Linked DNA regions of Caenorhabditis elegans. The protein of the gene in region 3 purifies or fractionates together with the protein of the main gene of each other region. This does not show direct contact. Each region holds a gene or a part of one and is shown on either strand. Other genes may lie near its edges. The genes, in order: W06E11.1, rpc-25 and W09C3.4.

What was found.
Region 1: the proteins of W09C3.4 (region 3) and W06E11.1 fractionate together in Caenorhabditis elegans (co-fractionation; one large-scale study listed by BioGRID). This does not show direct contact.
Region 2: the proteins of W09C3.4 (region 3) and rpc-25 fractionate together in Caenorhabditis elegans (co-fractionation; one large-scale study listed by BioGRID). This does not show direct contact.

Annotation. Positions count from the first base shown.
Region 1 is NC_003281.10:640,040-643,795, reverse strand, and holds the start of W06E11.1 (RNB domain-containing protein), read right to left. Parts: upstream 1,738-3,756; 5' UTR 1,725-1,737; coding exon 1,476-1,724; intron 1,287-1,475; coding exon 1,180-1,286; intron 478-1,179; coding exon 1-477. Other genes in the region: tag-267 (Major sperm protein), read right to left, coding at 2,256-2,509, 2,568-2,678, 2,722-2,881, 2,937-3,002; tag-266 (Golgin subfamily A member 7/ERF4 domain-containing protein), read left to right, coding at 3,586-3,743.
Region 2 is NC_003283.11:10,205,148-10,208,726, forward strand, and holds rpc-25 (DNA-directed RNA polymerase III subunit RPC8), read right to left. Parts: upstream 1,456-3,579; 5' UTR 1,455-1,455; coding exon 1,242-1,454; intron 1,193-1,241; coding exon 927-1,192; intron 878-926; coding exon 637-877; 3' UTR 533-636; downstream 1-532. Other genes in the region: ZK856.16 (Ovule protein), read right to left, coding at 176-436; tftc-3 (TPR_REGION domain-containing protein), read right to left, coding at 1,680-1,785, 1,848-2,377, 2,427-2,526, 2,573-2,688, 2,739-2,875, 2,920-3,343, 3,385-3,579.
Region 3 is NC_003279.8:4,702,846-4,706,401, forward strand, and holds W09C3.4 (putative DNA-directed RNA polymerase III subunit RPC6), read left to right. Parts: upstream 1-1,758; 5' UTR 1,759-1,776; coding exon 1,777-2,037; intron 2,038-2,089; coding exon 2,090-2,452; intron 2,453-2,601; coding exon 2,602-2,868; 3' UTR 2,869-3,040; downstream 3,041-3,556. UniProt on the Caenorhabditis elegans protein: DNA-dependent RNA polymerase catalyzes the transcription of DNA into RNA using the four ribonucleoside triphosphates as substrates. Specific peripheric component of RNA polymerase III which synthesizes small RNAs, such as 5S rRNA and tRNAs.

The DNA.
Region 1 (3,756 bases), on a different chromosome or scaffold from region 3:
ATAATAGCTCTATTAACAAGAGCTCTAATGCTCATTCGTGAAGCTTCAGGATCGTCCAAAAGGAGTCCATTCTGACTAATTCCATCAATTTTTTCAGCGACAGGGTCACCATCTTTCAAATGAACTTTCATCGGAATCCACATATCACTTGCAATCTTTTTCTCTCGATGTAACGCCGATGCTTCTCGTCGTTTTTTTTGTCGTTCAGTTTCAGGCCGAGAAAATTTGACTCTAACTGCGGCGGAGGATGGCTTAACGTCTTCTTCTTCTCCAGACGAATCTTCATCGGATTTTCCAGATTTTCCGTCGGATTTCTTCTTTTTATTCAACCCTTGAATTGATCGATGCATTTCGAATGCTCCAGTCAGCGGATGAATGAAGAATTCGCCGTTTTTAAAAAATCCAATTGCATTGACTATTGGGTGATCGTGGATGAATGCACGGCCTTCGTAGATCTCATCGTTGGCTCGGAGAGCACTGGAAGAATTGAAATTATGTGAAAAACACACAATTTTCGAATGAAAATTCGAAACTAGGCTCTTCTAAGTGGATAGCAGATCAAATTTTAAAAAACACTGACTTAAAATTGATTTTTCTACTCTTTTTTCAACAAATGTAACGAATTAATTAGCAATTTTTTAAATCAATTTTTTTTCAAAAAACGCAAGAAATCTGTAAATCTGTCCCTACCCTCGATTAGCAATCGAAACATTTAGCAGACCCAACCCTTTTGGTCTGCTAATTATTTAACAGACCAAATTTCAAAAAAACTCCGCATTAAGCCTCAAAAATTGATTTTTCTACGTTTTTTGCTACAAACCGAAAGCATTTTATTGAACTTTTCATTTAAAAAACGAAAGAAATCTGTAAATTCTTTGAAAATCCTCGAATTTTAATCGAAATATTTAGCAGACCCAGCCTCATTGGTCTGCTAATTGTTTAGCAGACCAACCATGGGTCTGCTAAATATTTAGCAGACCCAAAATTGGTCTGCTAATTATTTAGCAGACCCAAAATTAATCTGCTAAATATTTAGCAGACCCAACCTCATTGGTCTGCTAAATATTTAGCAGACCAACTATAGGTCTGCTAAATATATTCTTTACCTTCTACTTTTTTCAAAGCAAATTTCAGGTGTATTTTCATACTTTCAGCATCAAAAACTGTGGTAAAACCTACTCAATTCCATGTCCTTTTTTCGGGACATCTCCATCCATATACATAAGTTCTGCCTTCTTTTTGTCATATGATCCGAGTTGGGTGTCTGTCATGAAGCGCATTTCTAGCTGAAAATCAGTGACATTGAAAATTCGATCTAAAATTGATTAAATTGTGAAAAAAACGGCTACTTTTTCAGATGTTTTTGGGCATTTCTCTAAACGTTTGACAGGATTTGTTCAATTTGTTCAATAATTCTAGTGTCCTATTTTCCGATTTTCAATGAATTCAAGCCAATTTCAAGTGTTTTTCCGTACCAATCGAACATTCTTCTTATATCTGGCAATTGGAAATCGCTTTGCATCCCAGGCGTCTCGTTTGCTCGAAGGATACGAAACAGAGAACATTTCAGTATTTGGTGTGGAATTGCACACAACTACGTCGCATTCCCAAACGACTTGATCTTCAACTGAATCATCCTCTTCATCTGATAGAAATTCCGGTTTTTTGACAAGTTTTCGAATAATTTGCTCTTGTTCGTCGTCAGAAGCACCGTCTACTTCCATTTAGTATGAGATCCTGAAAAATTTGAGCGATTTGGACGGTTTATACGAATTATATATTTAAAAATCGTTTGTTTTTCCTTAGTTTTGTTGAAAAACCCCATTTTTACCTAGAAGAACACAAATTTTCCCGAAAAATTTGGAAAAATAAAAGCTAAAATGCAATTTTTTGTGTAATTAATAAGGATTTTTGTAGAAAATTTTAATTTTAGTTTACTAATATTTTTGGAGAATTTTTAGACACAATTTTTGTGAGATTCTGACTTTTTTTGCGATTTTTCTAGTTCTCTCACGGAAAACTCAGCAAAAATCTCGTCTTTCCAATCAAAAATTCCCAAAAAACCACTGAAAAATGTTAAATTTCAATCAATAAATGCCACGTGGCAAATAAATATTAACAGAAGATGTTAAAACTTCCAAAAATCGATTTAAAAAACCAGAAAAAAATTAAGAAAAAAACATTTTTAGCTAAAAAAACGAAAAATCAACAAACAAAAAGATAAATTCAACAAAAAATGTGTCAACAAGTAAATTTCAATTCATTTTTTCGATAATATTTGCAAGTTTTCTCGGTTTTCCATCGCCTTCCGTAGTGGTTCCATAGGCTTTGTTACGTTGTTGACGGCTTTCCAGGTCCAAAATTGCGGTCTTTTTGATCTTTTTCAGGCCTGGATGGACTTCTGAAGAGCCTTCAACGGGTTCTTCGCCTTCTTCATAAATAAATCCTCCTAGTACCTTGGGCTTCACCTCTTGCGGGAGAATTGTGATGGCGCCAGTGACGAAACTCTCTGAAAAAAATTGTTATTGGGTAATTTTATCAACTTTTAAGCTTAATTCTATGCTTACGAGCTTTAATATTCTTCGAGTCAGCTTCTTCCCGCTCCCTGAACGCCGGAATATGCACCATCCGCTCCTTTTTCGACTTTGGCGCAACAATAGCTCGGAAAACTCCGGATTCTGAAAAATTTCTCATAGATTTTTCTCAATAAAATACTCTCACCTGTCTTCAATTTGGTTTTCGTCAACACTTCCTCGTCGTTTGACCATTTTAGCGCCTCCAAATCTTCTAAACTAACACCAATCGGTTTTTTGATGAGGAAAACTTGAAAATCCGAGCTCTCATCGATCGTCATGTCAGCCACACCATTTCTGGCTTCTTCCTTAATACATTTAATTAAAACCAAAAAAGTTGTAATCAAGAAATTCAATTCTTACCACTTTTTTTACCCGTTTTCCAGATTGCTCTGAGTCCGAGTCCTGGTGCTTTCGTTTTTTGCCCATTTTACTGGAAAATTTTGCAAAATTTCAGATTTTTTAAAATTATAAAACACAAATATATTAAAAATAAATGCGTTTAGCGAAAAAAAATTGGAAAATCTGCAAAAAAAGGAAAAAATATGTTTCACAAAAAAGTGCGATAGGGCGCCGTTGCATACCACAAGAGACTTCACGAAATTGAGAGATTTCACATTGGAGAAATGAGGAACAACGAGTAAATGACATATAATTTTAGATTTTCTTGTTACAAAGTAAATAATTTATTTTCATTTAATAAAATCTTACATTTTATAACACTTTTACTAGGTGTTCAACTAAAAAACCTCGCGTTTATACTGTGACATTCGGAAACATGCGTTCTGCAAACAACCTTTTACCCAGAGAGAGCGTGGTCTCCTTGAGTTCTCAATTTCTATTGATTTTCTTTTTTCTCTATTTTCCAGACGGCTCACTGTTAATTTTCCGGCATTTTTCTCATTTTTTATGAATTTTCTAAAACATTTTCAACTTCAGCCGCTTCCTCACATCAAAATTAACACCAAACCCCTAAAATATCCTACATTTTTCCAGAGAAAATTCATAAAAAATGTCACATGGCTCACCAGCCCCATCGGCGTCGGTTTCCAGTGACGGCGAAGAGCCAGAAATAGACGTGATGCCGAGTAGTGACGAGGAATCCGAGCCAATATACATTCCAAAGGAGAAGGAACCCGTCGTGATTCGTGGAGTTGGAAATATCACAGTGTAGGTGGTTTTT
Region 2 (3,579 bases), on a different chromosome or scaffold from region 3:
GCTGGCGCATTTCTCTTTCTTGGCGCATACTCGATATGTCGATTTACGGTAGGCTACCGTGAAATGAACTTTGGGCAAAATATGGAAGAAATGCTTGATTAAATTATTTATTCACATTTGAAAATAGAAAATGGTGTCAGAGATGTTTTTAGAAGCACTTGATAGTTATTAAAACTCAAGTAGAAGAATCCATGGCCGTATCCGTACTCGATGAGGATTGAGTCGGCATCGGAATGCTTGGACAAGATGGAATGATTACATTGTCAAAATCAGAAGAGCACGCTGTGAAGGATGTCGGATATTTTTGTGTTTCGAGTTGCGATATCAAGCTGGTTCCACGGAAGACTGGCAGTGGGACGTTGTTCGAATGGTACTGTTGACTACTGGTGGGCGCAGCTGAGCTTTTAAGCATAAGGTTACGAGTTTTTTCGCTCATGTTTCTGAAACCATTCTGAAATTAAAATATCAGGCCGCCTTTGGAAGTACTTGTATAAATCATGAGACAAACATAATGATTGGATAATCGATCTTTGCAAGCTATCTTTATATTTATTTTGCAAGACGAAAAAATAACAACTTATTCAACAATAACAAAAAGTAAAAACAGTGTACCCGTTATAATCAATTAAAATTTGATTAAACTGGCTCTTCTTTAATTTTAACAGGCTGTCTAACTTCTTCTTGAGGCTGTCTAATTTCTTCTTTGGGCTGTATAACTTCTTCTTGTTCATCTTGCTCGTCTTCAACCGCTTCATCATCTTCATCTTCTGCTGCCCACCATCCAATACATCCCAATCCAGTACTAGCCATCGTACCTTTGATTTCCATAGATTTCTCTGTTTTTCTCTCTTCGTGTGTTAACTCTGGTTTGAGATCTCTGCAAACAAATCAATATTTTAATTTCGATGAAATACAAAATGTCTCACTTGAAAATGATTTCCGTCACTCGGAATCTCACAATCTTCCCTGGATCCATATACAGTTTTGCTGGTGGTTCTCCATCTTCCTGTGCATATTCCCAATACCAAACTTGCCCTTCTTCTTCGAAAACATGAGGTTCTGGAAGCTTTTCCGCCGGTACAAAAATGTCTTCGAAGAATTGAATTGTTAGACAAAGACCTTGTCGTGATGAACCAATCACTTTGGCCTCAATAACTTCATCGACAAATGGCCGAAAAACGATCATACGGAACTGAAGATTTATTTCATTTCTCAAATACGACTGTACATTGATTTATTACCTTAACTCTCGCTCTACAATCTCCTTCGCCGGGTAAAATGTACGAATCACCAATTTCATTTATATCATAGACACAAATACAGAGACCAAGATCCGGAATAATTTTGTTGGCGAGACGTTCATTGAGCCGTTTTTTGATAACAATTTGCTGATCAGAGCTCAATTGATGAGGCTGAATAGCCACCGTATCGTGCAGTAGAGAAAGAATGAACATACTGTAAATATTAAACATTTTCCTTTTATACGGCATCAGTATCAGCAGATATTGAATGGAAGCTTGAACTATATTCTCAGAACCAAATATAATGAAATAAAAATAATAAAAAAGAAAATTTATAAGTAATTGTTTAAAAAAGTACGATGGGATTGCTACTTATAAATTAGACCACACAATGTCAGACATTGGATAGATTAACAAAAATTATTCTTCAACAAAAAATCAAACAACAAGATATTTTTCATAAATTTTCCTAGCGGCGAAATTGTTTCCTGATGTTCGGTAGATTAAAGCCAGGTTGTGAGCAGCCATCTTTCTCAGGTCATATCTGAAATTTTAATAGTATTTCTACAGACAGAAATTTCTAATTTATTTTTAAAATTGTCTTACTTCATTGCTGGAATAATAACCTCATTGCCATCTTCATCAAAATCAAACACACACGGCGGATCAACCTCCAATACTTTATCATAAAAATGTTTGGCGAGAGGGAGAATCGACATTTGATGGAACATTCTGGCAATGTTATAAAAGACTTCTTGTTGGCAAGCCCGTGCTTTTGAATACTTCTTCATAAAAGCAATTCCTCGGATTCCGATGAGGTGTCTACTTGAGAGATCCTTCTTACAAGACATATGAGTGAAAGTGAGAGCAAGCAGCATACAGATGAGTGGATTTCGTTTATTGGCTACCCATACTCGAAGATACTCTCCCATTGCATGTCGGTATGTTCCCGTGATAAGTGAATTATTGCCTGAAATCGCTTGAAGAGCATGATTATCTTTAGCTTTGACGAGTGCTCTCATGATAAATCGATGGTAGCAGACATTCTGAGAGTTGACGAATACGTAGTTCATTGCATTGAAAAGGCGTTTTTGGAGAACGTCAGAGAATGAGCCATTTTGAGGATCGCTGACTGCCTGGAAATTTAAATTACTTAAATGCGTCCAATAAGATACAAATTGTTACCAAAGAAAAAGTGTGAAAGAATCTAACATATTCAAATGCCAAATTCCAACATCTTGCTTTGATTGCACAAAAATATACTAAATTCTGGAAAGTGGAGATTCTGAAAATTTTGTAATGTGTGGAAAATTTTGAACAAATTAGCTCACTTGTCGGCTTTGAAAAGAGTTGGATGTAAAAATGCATAACAACAGACAATGAGTGCGTCTTGATGTTTCTCCATTTTATTTAAACATTCGATTAACTTCAAACAGTAGTCATGTATCTGAAAATTAAAAATTTACACAATCAAATGTATGCTCGAATAATGATTACATCTGTTCCCGAAAGCGATGTTTGAAAAGTCCCATTGGCTTCTACAGTTGCTCCCAGCCTTTTGACAAGGCGTTCCCAATTTGTATGTTTAACAACTCCAAAAGCACAAGTTTTCAAAGTATTACTGAGAGCAGGTGCTGGAAATTCGTATTGAAGACAATTAAAATGTTATTTCACTTACTAGTCGTTTTTCCTTTGGTAACCCGTCGTTTCTTCAAAATATCTGGAGAAATATAGACTTTGTAGAAGTGGGGAGCCAGCATCATTCTCGTGATCCTTACAAACTGCTCAGAATCTCCTGCTTCGAATAAAACGTCTGCTCGACGAGCAAGAAGACGTTCATCTGGCATCGATGAGCAGTTTTCCAGGTCATAATTTTCCAAGGTTTCGAGGGCTTTTTCGAAAAACCCAGATTTTTGCTGGAGAGTTGACAAATGGATACGATTATCAATATGATCCGGTTGTAGTATCAGAACTTTATTGAATGCTTCCATTGCTAGATCATCATGCTTCTGCATCATTTCAAGACTTCCTTTCAGATACCAGTAAGCACCAGATGCTTCGTTGTTGTAACAAGGATTTTTGGTCAATTGATCCAGGAAGTTCTAAAAAAAACTGTATTTTGTTATTACATAATATTTCTCACCATTGCAAGTTTCGGATGTCCTCTGTTCTTGTAAAGCCTTGGCACATCTAGAATAAATCCTTCATCTTCTTCTACATTGAAATTTCTTTTCAATAATTTATGTTCCAACACGGAAGACTGTTCGACTTCATCCAAACTGAAGAGACAAATGACGAGATGGCAGTGCATACTGACTGGAAACAGATTGACATCAAT
Region 3 (3,556 bases):
AATAAATCTCAGGGTTTTAGTTAGAAAACATGTTGATTCCAACTTGATGGAAATTATGGTGAAATTGCCAAGAATCGTCGGCAAATTGTGATTTTGCATATATCTGTTTTTTTTTGGAAATTTTAGAATTTCAAAAAATAAAAAATTACATAAAGGCACAAGTTTAAGTGTTTTCGTCTTATAGAAAAACTCCTCTAAACATTTCCGGCAAATCTGATATTCGGTAAATCGGCAAATGTACAATTTGCCGATTTGCCGAATTTGTCCTTTTTTTTTCTCGAGATGTATGAAATATGGGAGTGAGAAGAGAATTGCAAAATAGGAAGACACGAGATTCAAAATGAGGGAGTATGAGCCAAACAAGACGGAGAAAAGGCATAAGAGGAGCTCTGTGTTGAGGGATATATAATTTGTTGGAGGAGAATGACACGGAGAACACATTGCGAATATGGGATCAAACTAGAGACGCAGAGCACTGAGCAGATATCTCACAAACACCCGGTGTGTGGCAGATGGTGAGCCATTTTGGTCACTCTCTTTCCCTCTTGTTGTTCGCCTCCCTGAAAGGCAACTGCTAGCAGGCTCTGGCTACTCCTACTGACTGCTTCTTCATTGAATGCTCCTCTTTTCCATTGATGACGATTGAATATGCGAGAGACAGCCGGGGTCTCTAATACTAGGAGCCGAGTAGCATGAAATTGTTGTTGTGAAACTTATTAGAAAATGGATAAGTGTGGGGGATTTGTTGAGAATATTTTTAGCGAAAGCGAGAAATTTTAAGCTTTTGTCAGTACAACTGCGAAGTTATTTACCTCAATATGCAATATTACGGTAACACAAACCTCTTAGAATGCGTATTGTGCAACATAGTTGACGCGCAGAATATCTCGTAGCGAAAACTACAGTAATTCTTTAAAGGACTACTGTAGCTCTTTTGTCGAATTACGGGCACTATTTTCGAAATGAATTAATTTTCCAAAAGTGACAGCGATACTCATTTTCCGTCGTTTTTTTCGTATGATTCTTATCCATAAATAAATGATTTTAATTAATTTCGAAAATCGAGCCTGTAAATCAACATAAGCGCTACAGTAGTCATTTAAAGAATTACTGTAGTTTTCGCTACGAGATATTCTGCGCGTCAAATATGTTGCGCACTGGGCATTCATTTTGTGTTTTCGTAATAAAAGAAACGTTATGATATGTTTAACAAAATTTTGGATTTCATTTTTTTGATTAAAACTAACAATTCTCCAGTAATCTGAAAAATTGTCCTTTCCAAGCCAAAATAATATTTTAAATATATAACTCTTCTCATTTTCACTGATTATAATGATCAATGCATTAAAATACAGCTGCTAAAAAGCCAAACACCTTGTTTCCTTCAGATTTTCGAAAAATGGCATGTAACTCGAATGCGGCTGCCAAACCGACCACGAACAACAAAAATTCTCAAAATTTATAATTTTTATGTATATAAGCTTTTAGAAAAACATTTTTTCTATCCATTTATCTATTTTTATTATTTTATAATCTTCAGTATTAATGCTTTTAGCCACAGTCTTCATTTTCATCTCATTTTGCCATCGCCCCGCCCCGTGTGGCGACCGCGCTCTATTGCGAATCATTTTTCTCTCGCAATTTGCAGTTATTATTTCTCCCTTCAGTTTCACTATTTTCTCACAAAAATTCACCGAATAAAATGTTTTCTCTCAATAATTTTATGTTTTTTCTTATTTTTCTAATGCATATTTTAATTTTCAGCGGATAAAAATCATGGCTTCCATCAAAGAAGAACTTATAAGCGCGGCGGAAAGCGAATCGCAAGTGATGCAGATCGTTCAAGCGGCTCTCGAAGGAATTGATATGGATGCATTGACAAGTATGACACCTGGATTGCCACAAACTGTTCGTCAGACTGCGATCAATAGCCTTTTGAGCTCAAAGAAATTGGCTATTCAACAAGCGCCTGGCGGTGTGCTCCGGTTGAAAGTTAACACAAGTGAACAGATTGCGGGAACAGAAGAGGAGCAAGTGGTGAGTATTTCTTGCATCCGGAAGAAAGAAAAACTGACATTTTTCATTACAGATTTACAGTCTTATCGAAGAATCGAAGACGCGTGGAATATGGATAAAAGAACTTCGAGAAGGTTCAGGACTCAACCAGCTTCAACTTCGAAAAACATTGAAAAGTCTGGAAACGAAAAAGTTGATCAAGACTATCAAAGCTGTTGGAACTACGAGGAAGTGCTATATTTTGTTTAGTATTGAACCAGATATGTCATTGACTGGTGGAACATTCTATTCTGATCAACAACTCGATTCGGAACTCATCAATACATTGATCAGTGTTTGTGGTTCATATGCTGCCAGCAGACGAAAGCATGCGATTGATGAAAATCCGAATAATATTCAAATGCAAAGAGAAGCCAGCTATATTCGTCCTCAAGAGGTTTGATTTTTATTGATAGCTCTAAAAAAATTTTTTTTTAAACTCTAAATTGAAAATGTGAATTTTTTTAACCGGAAAATAAATTAAATTGATGTTTTTCAATTTTTTTAGCAAAAAATATGCGTAATCAATTTTAAAAAAATTTCCAGATAGCCCAATTCATCACCGAAAAACGAGTATTGAATGTTCCACTATCATTGGAAGATTTAGAAAGAATTCTCGAAGTCGCTGTGTTGGATGGAACAATTGAACGAAGAGCTGATGGAAAGATCCGTGCATGTCCACCACGTTCCAGTATTTCTCCATTAGTGTCGGTTCCGTGTGCTATTTGTCCAGTTGTCGAGGATTGTCGACCAGGATATGTGATCTCTCCTCAATCATGTGATTATATGAAAAATTGGCTGGCCGATCTGTAACTGCAGTACTCTCTAGTTAATTGTTTTGAGAACTCAGATCTTCAAAACCCGTATTTTTATTGTCCATTTTTGTTAATTTATTGATGCCTTTTTGTTGTTGATTCTCCTCTTTTTTTCTTAATTGTTAAATATTTGTTCTGAATAAAAAAATCTCATAAAAAGAGATACAAATGCTGGTTCTATTTCAGAAAGAATGGTAGGAAGTGACTAATCTTAATGTCAAACCATAATGATCGACCCTTGACGCGGAGCAGTTTTGCAAGTATGCGGCGCGGTTTTATGCATGTCATTTTTTTCTGGTTTTACAGGTTTCAATTTAAAAACCGGACTAGCCCGTAAATCGACAATAGCGCTACAGTAGTCATTTAAAGAATTACTGTAGTTTTCGCTACGAGATATTTTGCGTGTCAAACATGTTGCGCAATACGCATTCTCAGTATTGTAGGGTCCCGTAATATTAATTTTAAAAATGTTTTCTTTTTTTTTTTTAATTTTTTCCGAAATATTTTTAAAATATTACTTTTAAAAATATTTTTTTTGTCGTTTTGAAAAATAGGTACAAAACAGGAATTTTGCCCAAAAAATGAGTAAAACCGAGCGAAAAAAAATACTCACACATGTATGTCCATGTCTAGTACAAAACTCTTCGTAAATCGACATGCAAAAAACCGCGCCGCAGGCTTGCAAA